Mus musculus: one gene and its partner. The protein of the gene in region 1 binds, or shares a complex with, the protein of each later gene. Links are inferred from orthologs where the notes say so. Each region holds a gene or a part of one and is shown in the gene's direction. Other genes may lie near its edges.

The links. Proteins that work in one complex are often made in the same cells at the same time.
Region 2: Sart1 (region 1) and Lsm5 share a complex: the UniProt entries of both Homo sapiens proteins name them as parts of the U4/U6-U5 tri-snRNP complex. The link is inferred for Mus musculus from reciprocal best matches to the Homo sapiens genes SART1 and LSM5.

What each region holds. Positions count from the first base shown.
Region 1 is NC_000085.6:5,385,563-5,390,602, reverse strand, and holds the start of Sart1 (U4/U6.U5 tri-snRNP-associated protein 1), read left to right. Parts: upstream 1-1,899; 5' UTR 1,900-1,975; coding exon 1,976-2,288; intron 2,289-4,733; coding exon 4,734-4,791; intron 4,792-5,040. Other genes in the region: Tsga10ip (testis-specific protein 10-interacting protein), read left to right, coding at 406-541. UniProt on the Homo sapiens protein: Plays a role in mRNA splicing as a component of the U4/U6-U5 tri-snRNP, one of the building blocks of the spliceosome. May also bind to DNA.
Region 2 is NC_000072.6:56,701,676-56,706,536, reverse strand, and holds the start of Lsm5 (U6 snRNA-associated Sm-like protein LSm5), read left to right. Parts: upstream 1-1,837; 5' UTR 1,838-1,868; coding exon 1,869-1,914; intron 1,915-3,127; coding exon 3,128-3,223; intron 3,224-3,503; coding exon 3,504-3,531; intron 3,532-4,368; coding exon 4,369-4,441; intron 4,442-4,861. UniProt on the Homo sapiens protein: Plays a role in pre-mRNA splicing as component of the U4/U6-U5 tri-snRNP complex that is involved in spliceosome assembly, and as component of the precatalytic spliceosome (spliceosome B complex).

The sequences.
Region 1 (5,040 bases):
GGGGACAAGGTACCCGCCTAGTGTTCTCCATGTCACCCAGGGCTATTGTCCCCACCTTCCACTGAGACCAGAGTAGGACCTTACTTGAGGACAAAGGAACAAATACACAGTAAAGCTAGTCTAGGACTCTAAGCAAGATAAGCCAAGCAGCTGGTGCCACTCTGTCACCCTTCAGACTGTCCCTTACACCTTAGAGTGAGGAACCTGGTACAGAGAAGGGATTGTAAGATTCACTTCACAGTAAAACCAACCCCCAAACAACTGAGACTGCAGGAGGGGGTGTCACTTTTCAGGGTTACACAGCAACTAAGTATAGGACTTAGATTTAGATCACAGGGTAAAAGGCTGCACTGGGCATGGAAGAGGGTGCTGTGGAGCCCACTGGTCTCCATCTGTGTCTTTAAGGAGCAACCGATCACTTAGAGCAGAAATGGAGCCCTCTTCTCAGAGCCCCCCCAAAACAGAGCCAACCAGCAGCCAGCCTGGAAGACGCCCCTCCCCAACCCTGGACCCAGACTACAGTCCCCGAGAGAAAAATTAAACGCTTTATGGCCAAGTACAGTGTGAGACTTCTGAGGGGAGTTGGCTGTGGGTCGGAGATAGGTAGCGGAAGTGGGTGGCAGAGGTTGAGCTGTTTCCCCCACGCCCTGGAAACCCAGGCTACACCTCATTCTCAACAAGCCGTCTCTCTACTGAGGCGTGGGGCACCGGAAAGGAATCCGCTGAGACTTTGCCATGCTTTCCCCAACATGCCAGGGGACCTAGAAATCTTAGTGAACAGGACCCTGCCTCTGAAGGCGCTCAGTCTCGGGGTGGACCTTCAAAGGTGCCCATCCCCCACACCAAACCACACCAGCGAGGTGCTACACCGGAAGTCCAGAGAGGAGCAACGACTATCAGATGGGAGTGTGTGAACCCTTAACTTAAACCCTTAACCCTTTACTCAACCCAAAACAAAGCAACCAAACTAAACAAACAATCAAACAAACAGAAACCCAGGAAAAGTCGAGAAAAGCATGTAATCCCAGCCTGGGCTACATAGTTAACAGGCTAGACAGAACGGGAAAAACAAAAAAAGGAGGGAAAGCATATACATGCACAAATGTGCCGAATTTGCACTCAAGCCTGGAGTGGCCATGCACACGAGAGGCTGACAGAGGGACTGTGGTGGGTTTGAAGACAGCCAGGGGTAAGTAACAAGTACTAGACCTACCTTTACAAAAAAAGAAAACTAGAAACAAACCATCACTCAGTATCACCAGGTTTATAGGCACAAATTCAAAGAGCACTCCAAAGCCTAGTTAAAAAGGTCCAATCCAGCTGGGCGGTGGTGGCGCACGCCTTTAATCCCAGCACCTGGGAGGCAGAGGCAGGCGGATTTCTGAGTTCGAGGCCAGCCTGGTCTACAGAGTGAGTTCCAGGACAGAGAAAACCCCTGTCTAAAAAATAATAATAAAACGGTCCAATCCATCAGTCTAGGGGACATAGGATGACGGTAGCGTTCGCTAAAAGAAAGAGTATTTTCCAACTCTGGATGGAGCCCCGGCACTAGGGAGCTTGCTTGGACAGTCACTGGAGAGGGGGCTGCCCACAGAGAGACTTGAGGCACAGAGCACCACGAAGCGATCAGAGTGGAAGGGGAAGGAGGCAGGGGAAACTTCTAGCTCCGGAGATGATGACCCAGTACCATGCTAAAGTTCTTACGGCTCTACGACTACCATCTTAGATGGCGCGAGAGGGTGGACGGCGCAGTCTCTACAGGTGCGCGTGCGCAGAGACCAGTAGCTGGCAGGCGGGACCGCGCACCCTCAATCAGTCCCTCCCGTGAGCCTTTGGAGGTTCCCAGGCAGGCCCCGGAAACAGCCCCTCTTAGTTTCCGGCAACAGGAACGGGGCGGTCGCGCGACCCGGAAGCGTTCCCATTTCGCGTCGTCTGGGCTAGGGTAGCGGCCCGGCTCCAGGCGGACGCAATAATCATGGGGTCGTCAAAGAAGCACCGTGGCGAGAAGGAGGCGGCCGGGACGACGGCTGCGGCCGGGACTGGGGGCACGACCGAGCAGCCGCCACGGCATCGCGAGCATAAGAAACACAAGCACCGGAGCAGCGGCGGCGGCAGCAGCGGCGGCGAACGACGGAAGCGGAGCCGGGAGCGTGGGAGTGAGCGCGGGAGCGGGCGGCGTGGGGCGGAAGCCGAGGCCCGCAGCGGCGCGCACGGTCGCGAACGAAGCCAAGCGGAGCCCTCGGAGCGGCGCGTGAAGCGGGAGAAACGCGATGACGGCTACGAGGCCGGTGAGGGCGGGGCCCGGGGGCGGGGCAGGGTCTTGGGATGCCCAGGACGGAGGGTACGGGAGGACCTCGAGGGCCATCTGCCTCTCGGGTTAAAGACGTCCTCCGGGTGTTTGGGGTTAAACGTTGACGTCTCCACGTTAAGCTTTAAGAAGACAGGAGTCTTCCTGCCTTCCCTGTCTTCCTGGCACTTCACAGCAATGCATTGGGTGGGTGAATGAGGTGGGACGAGCGTGTACAGACAATCGACCAATAGCTCATAGCGGAGACATGAAGCAGTAAGATAGGCTTGGGTCTGAACCAGCGCTGTAAGCCCTGTTGAGAAGTTTGGGCTTTGTTATGAGGATGGTAGGGAGCCAAGGATTTGAGTAAGCAAGTGACTTGAATTGCATGATATTTTATGAAGATCAGTGGGTTGAGAGCTTGTCAAACGTAGGACCAGAGATCAAGAGATCGGGAGGGAGGTCCAAGCAACCAGGTGAGGGCTAATAGTATGCATGTTTCTCTATGCAGCGGGCCGGAGAGAAGTGGACAGATTGAATAGGAATTCGGTCTGATTGGCCTGGTGAATGGAGGTGTCATCTGTTGGAACTGAGTTTAGAAGAGAAGCAGATTTGAGGCAGGGGAGAATGACACAGTTTTGGGAGAACTTTATGTTTGGTGTATATGGGAAACCTTACAGTTTAAGTGAGATAGAGTGACTTTGGGCTGGTGTGTATTCAGGAAACCAAAGAAGTGCCTTAGAACATGTGGAATGAGAACGAGAGTCAGGCATAGAACCTGCTAAATTCCAGTAGTTCAGTTGTGGGCAGAGGAACATGTTGAGGAGCATAAATAGTAGCCAGTGGCAGGAACCCACAGTCTGCCCATAGGATCTATGCAAAGAGAGCATTGCTGAAGTGTGATCCACCACAGGACATTAATCTTTTAAACAAAGGATTGTTTTTATGTTAATGCATTTGAGTATTTTACCCTCATGTGCCCGTGCCAGCAGAGGTCAGAAGAAGGCATCGGATCCCCTGGAACTGAATTAGATGGCTGTGAGTTGCCATATGGATTCTGAGAACCAAATTTGGGTCCTCTGTAAGAACAGCAAGTGCTCTTATCCCCTGAGACATCTCTCCAGTCTCCAGATCAGAAATTTTCTTGAAAGTAATCTGCTAGTTGGAAAAAGGGAGACTTGGGACTTGACAGTTCCCACAGAAAGTGGAGTGGTGCCAAGGCAGAGAAAGGGACTGTTGGGTTAAAGAAGAGAGTGACTGCAGTGGTTGAATACGGCAGAGATTTTTGAGAAGATGCCCTCCTGGTAGGGCCTGGTTGGGGGAGCTAAATTTGATGCATCTTCCTCTGTATGGTGTTTGTTGAAGTTCTCTTCTGTTTGTGGGATGGGTAGAGCAGGTCCAGGGTGCATGCCTGCTTATTTATGTTCTTGTTTATGTACATGTACCTGTTCAGCAGCCATGGATGAGCTGGGTTACCCTGAAAGGGGGGCTGGAAATGAAAAGGACTGGGTGCGAGAGAAGGATGAAGCCAAGACAAACGTTTCTGCACGGCTCAAAGTTCAATAGTCAGCCCTGCATTTATATAGGGAGAGCCCGCAGATTTGTTTCTGCTGGACTGAGCTGCAAAGTGAGCTCAGTGGGCAGTCTGCTCCTGTGGGAAGTTGACTCCACCTGGGTCTGGGTCGTTACTGTAGCCTGCTCAAGGCTGGGGGAAGGGCACGTGTATACATCGGGCGTGGAACACTGCTGTGGGCAGAAAGGGCCAGAAATGGTGAGCAGTGCTGTGCAGTTGAAGGCAGAGCCTTAACTCTGGTTAGTAATTGAACAGGGCTTCATGGTGGTTCGAACTCAGAAGTCCACCTGCGTCTGCCTCCCAAGTGCTGGGATTAAAGGCGTGCCCAGCCCACTGCCCGGCTCTTGATTCTTGATAGAATTTTATCGGGGCTGGTGAGATGGCTCAGTGGGTAAGAGCACCCGACTGTTCTTCCGAAGGTCTGAAGTTCAAATCCCAGCAACCACATGGTGGCTCACAACCATCCGTAATGAGATCTGACTCCCTCTTCTGGAGTGTCTGAAGACAACTACAGTGTACTTACATATAATAAAAATAAATAAATTTAAAAAAAATAAAAATTAAAAAAAAAAAAAAAAAGAATTTTATCATAACAAGAGCAGAAAGGACAGTGGAGGCTGAAGGTACAATATGGAGTGCCACAGTGAGGGATGCAGAAAGTTGGGCTGTTGGGTGAGAAGGGAAGGTATTGGAAGAGGCAGTCCTGCCAGCCCAGGGCCTGGGTAGGAGCTGTCAGGGAGCTCGGGAAAAGCTCCTGTCCTTTACCCAGGTGCTGGTGAGGGGCCCTTGTCTTTGACCTTGCGGCTGGACCAGCAGTGTTGCTTCCTGGTCCTGGTTCATGGGTCCCTTAAGCCGTTCTCCTTATTGTTCTAGCTGCCAGCTCCAAAGCCAGCTCTGGCGATGCCTCATCCCTCAGCATTGAGGAGACCAAGTAAGTGCCAGCTCCTTAGAGTCTGCTTTCCTCAGAGACAGGGTGCACCTAGGGCAGCCTGCAGAAAGCTTTTCATCATGGGTGGAGCCAGTTGGAAGGGCCAGATGAGTCAGGTAGCCAACCAGAGGAGCGCTAAGAACCAGGAGGAAGGAGGATCCCCTGATGTGGATGAGGGCCTGTGCCTGGTGTCCTCAGGACTGCCAGGTCTCACCTTGTTCTCCCCTCCTGCCTATCCACTAATGCACTTGA
Region 2 (4,861 bases), on another chromosome or scaffold:
ATTCAGAACCAGTGGATTTAATCACTATGCTATGTCCCAGTGTTCTTAGTCTTGAGGAATCGGGTTTTTGAAGGGTAGCTAACTTTGAATAATTATATTAAAAAATACATCCAAGTAATCCTGACAGCTATTGACACTGCTGTCAGCCAGCATCGGCCTCCAACAAGACTACACAAGTCAGGATAGGTGATCATCTCTGGCCAGGGTCCTGCAAACTGAACATCTTTACCAGGACATTGAGCAGTATCATGCAGTTAAATAGAAAAAAAAATGAGTGAAGACTGGGGTTACTCAGGAAATGGATTTGAAAAGGCAAGTGTTTTATGCTCAATGTGGGAGAAATGGGTATGGTTTAAAGACAAGATCAACAAGAGAAGCTTGGAGTGACACACATCCACTGCACACAATGTTTCCTTTTCTCAGAATGCGGCTTTTGCCTCTTCTCTGCTTACCCATTCTTAGTCACTGTGTGAGAAGACTCCCAACAACTCCTCAGTTCTTCAAGCTGTGGCCAAGGGACAGTGTTTTAACTTGTTTTAAGCACAAGGAACTTAATCCTGACTCTTACCTCAAAAGGATGGCTGTCAAGTGTGTTTGTAATTGCCTTGGGACCTAGTAGATCTGTAAGACTTATAGATTGGGCGTGGAGGAAAAAAAGCCACCACTGGCTTGGAATTGAGAATGGAGCTGAGTTTTCATTGCTTTCCATATTAAATCCCATAGTGCTGTGCACATGAAATGTACTATTTGTCCTCCTTCCCACTCTCTTGGTTGAAGACTTTTCTGAACATTGTTTTATGTATCCAGCAAGCTGCTAGTCAAACAATATTCCACTGATATGTTTTTTCAATGGAGGAATGAAGGGTGCTCATCTCTCATATTTAGGCTGTTTGGTTTTAAGTCTGTCACATGAGATGGACAAAGGCAAAGTATTTATCTGCTTTAACAACAACAACAACAACAACAACAACAACAAAACAAGCACGTAAACGAACAAACAAAAAACACTAGGGCCCAAACTCCGGGCCTCATGAATGCTAGGAAAGTACCCTATAGCCAAGCTACCAGCTAGCCCTTGTTAGTTTTAATTTCTTATTTTGTGTCGGGGTCTAAGAGGGCCATGCCTGCAACAGATGCCTCCTTTTGTCTCTCAAGTGTTGGGTTTACTGGCCACTCCACGTTAAAAGGGGGCTTTTTAATCTTTTCCAATGCAGAAGTGTGATAGCAAGGTTTCCAAACATGATGGAGTCAACATACAGAGTGACATCTTACGGTTGCCTGCAAATTGAAAACTGATAGTGACTTTAATGCCTGTAATAAACCAGACACCTAGAAACGACAAGAAGAAATTAAATAATAGTAGAAGTTTTTTGTTTGTTTGTTTGTTTGTTTGTTTTTTCTAAAAAAAAAAAAGCTTGTGAAAAATGCTGCTTTATAGACTTTCAGTCCTCTGGCCTTAAAAGTACCAGATTCCTTAAAAAAAAAAAAATGAGTAGTTGTTGAGGAGCATGCAGAACGAGTTTATAGTAGGAAATATAAATTGATTTTATTGCTCTGAAGAAAGATACAGGCTTGAAATGCAACCTTCTAGAGGAAAATTAACCGACTCAGAGATCTCGTATGCTGGTCTTCCGGCGGCAAATTATCTCTGAAGTTTAGCAAAACTTGGGGGTACCATAGGTGCCTGTTGGGTTGGTGGCAGGGATAGAGATCCGAACCTCTCTATCGAATCTGTCTGCGATCCATTGGGATCCTCTGGATCTCAAGATCGGCTTTGGATTAGTCTTGTCTGAACCAGCTGTGGAAAAGGGCGGAAGCGCGCAATTTTAAAGTCTGCGCCGGTGTCCTTAGCCACTTCCGGCGTGGCCATGGCGGCTAACGCGACCACGAACCCGTCCCAACTCCTGCCACTAGGTAAAAGTCTTGTTTGGGGAGCGGTCGGGTTGCTGCAATTCCACGCTGGGGGCCGAGGCTGGGCCACCGCCCCTCCGGGCCCGGCTGTCCGGTCCTTGGCGTCACTGGGCAGACAGACAGACCGTTTTGCCTGTCGGTGGTCGGTGAGGGTCCCACTTAGTGAAGGACGTGCTCGGCCTTTTTGAGCTCGCCAGTAAGATGTCATGAGTCGCGCAGTCCCAGTTCTCAGCTTGGCCTTCTTGGTCTCCAGATCAGGTAGACCCTGTATTGGCTTGGGTAAGGAGTGCGCCACGGCATACAATGAATCTTACAATAGAAATCTGGAAACTAGCCCCGTCGTTCATTAATTCAACAAGCAATTCCCGCGCAGTGCCAGAGAACTGTTGAATAATGAACTTGAATTACAGCCATTGCTTTCAAGATCGCACACCGGCACGCATCGTGCTGAGCAATTCTAAGATGCTGAGATGAACAGGTTGGCCCAGGAGCACAGAGAGTTAAGGTTAAGTGAGAGAAGGAGTGACGGGAAAGCCGGTGTCTGTAATAATGCTTCTCCCTTGTCATGTTTTGGGGCTGGTGAGCTTAGTGAATGTGTCTGTGATTGAAAGTTTTTGCAGTGTTAGATATTGTTTATCGGTACAAACACTGATGAAGAAAAACAGTTATGGTCTCCACCCACCTCATGGTGTGTGTTTTCATACATTAATCAAATAATCTAAATAAAAATCACAGTCCTATTAATTGCAAATAAAGAGTTAAGTGAAAGCTAAGGCAAACATTTGTGCTAACGATTAAACAGAGATTTGTGTAAGATGTAAAATTACCGAATGGTTCCAGATACATATGTAGGAGAGTATGGCCTTTTTTGACATCATTGGGAGGGGAGGCTCTTGATCCTGTGGAGTTTGATGCCACAGCATAAGGAGAATGCTGGAGTGGGTGGGTGGGTGGGGGAGCACCCTCATAGAAGCAATTGGGGAGTGGGGAGAAGGTAGATATGGGAGGGGTGTTGTGGAGGGGTAACCAGGAAGGGGGAATATCATTTGAGATGTAAACAGATGGAATGATTAATAAAAGTAAGTAAATAAATAAATAAATAGCAAAAAACTGAATGTTTTTGCTTATCTTTAATGATAAAAAATAATAAGTGAAGTAGGCATTCAAATGTTGGTCGATCTAATAAGTAGGTAAAATTACCCTTTTCCTTCCACAGAGCTTGTGGACAAATGTATAGGGTCAAGAATTCACATTGTGATGAAGAGTGATAAAGAAATTGTCGGGACACTTCTAGGATTTGATGACTTTGTCAGTATCCTTTTTAAAAGCGGGAATGGTGTAGGTTTCTAAAGATGTATTAATATAAGAAAGAACTATAGACAACCGAAGAATTTCTGGTTATTACATTAAGAATAATTTTGTTTTCCAGGAACTTGGTAGTATTTTAAGAGGTGTGTTTGCTGACAGTTGATAGGGCTCTTGCCAACAACAAACCTTTTGAATTTGCACTATCATAGTGTTGAACATATTTTAAACCAAACAAAAACATATACCTGAATAAACCTTATTTATTTTCTTAACATTAAATTCAGATATGGTGTTGGAAGATGTCACAGAATTGTGAGTAGTATTTAAAAAATTAAAAAAATTTGAGAGGAGGGGAGGAAATCTCTTTTTAATTAAAGATGGTGCCTTGATTACTTTTTTCTATTAATGTGAAGAGACAGCATGACAAAGGTATCTTATGGAAGAATGCGTTTAACTGGGGGCTTGCTTACAGTTTCAGATGGTTAGAGTCCCTGACTGTCCTAGCTAAGAGCTTATATGTTAGATAATAACCAAGAGAGAGAGAGAGAGAGAGAGAGAGAGAGAGAGAGAGAAGTAAATAGAGAACGCGAGCGCACTAAGTGGGTATAATTTAGGTTTTTGGAATCTCAAAGCCTAACAGGGTGATACACCTCCTCCAAAAAAGGCCACACCTCCTAATCATTTCCAGTTTGCCAACAGAGGACCAAGTGGAGGCCATTCTCCTTTAAACCTCCATAGCAGCTTTAGTATGATCGATATAAAAAAAATTACTTGTTGGAAAATACCTTAATACTGAAACGTTATTTACTGGTGTTTGTGAGGTCCAGTTAAAGGATTATTATCTTCATATTATTCCTGAATTTGTAAGAAATTAGTGTGAACAAGCTTTATGGTGAATTATATTTACATGAGTATTATCCAATGGGCAGTTTGTATTCTGTATATATTTACTGTAATTATATGCGTTCACATTGAATCATGTGTAAGAATAACAGCTTTGTCACTAGGGATTGAACCCAGGGCCTTGTGTGTGTGCTCTGCCACCAAGCTATTCTCCTTACCCCAGTAGGACTTTTAGGGAGGGAAAGTGTTTCTAATACTGCCTTTGATTACTTGTTTATCCAGACTCCATTTAATCTATCTTTTTAGTGAAATTACACCAGAAGGAAGAAGAATTACAAAATTAGATCAAATTCTACTAAATGGAAATAATATAACAATGGTAAGACATTAAAACTTTTCTCTGGAAATTATTTTACTTTTGTAGTGTAGGGATTATGGAACTGACTTAAACTTCTATTTCGTTGGCAATGTTCATGGCACTGAGATAGACACACTGAGGATGGGAAGGGAGCCTTGGTGATCTGTGCCTCAGGGCAGCTGTTGAAAGTGCTTTGGTCCTTGTCTTAGTCAGGGTTTCTATTCCTGCACAAACATCATGACCAAGAAGCAAGTTGGGGAGGAAAGGGTTTATTTGGCTTACACTTCCATACTGCTGTTCATCACCAAAGGAAATCAGGACTGGAACTCAAGCAGGTCAGGAAGCAGGAGCTGATGCAGAGGCCATGGAGGGATGTTCCTTACTGGCTTGCTTCCCCTGGCTTGCTCAGCCTGCTTTCTTATAGAACCCAAGACTACCAGC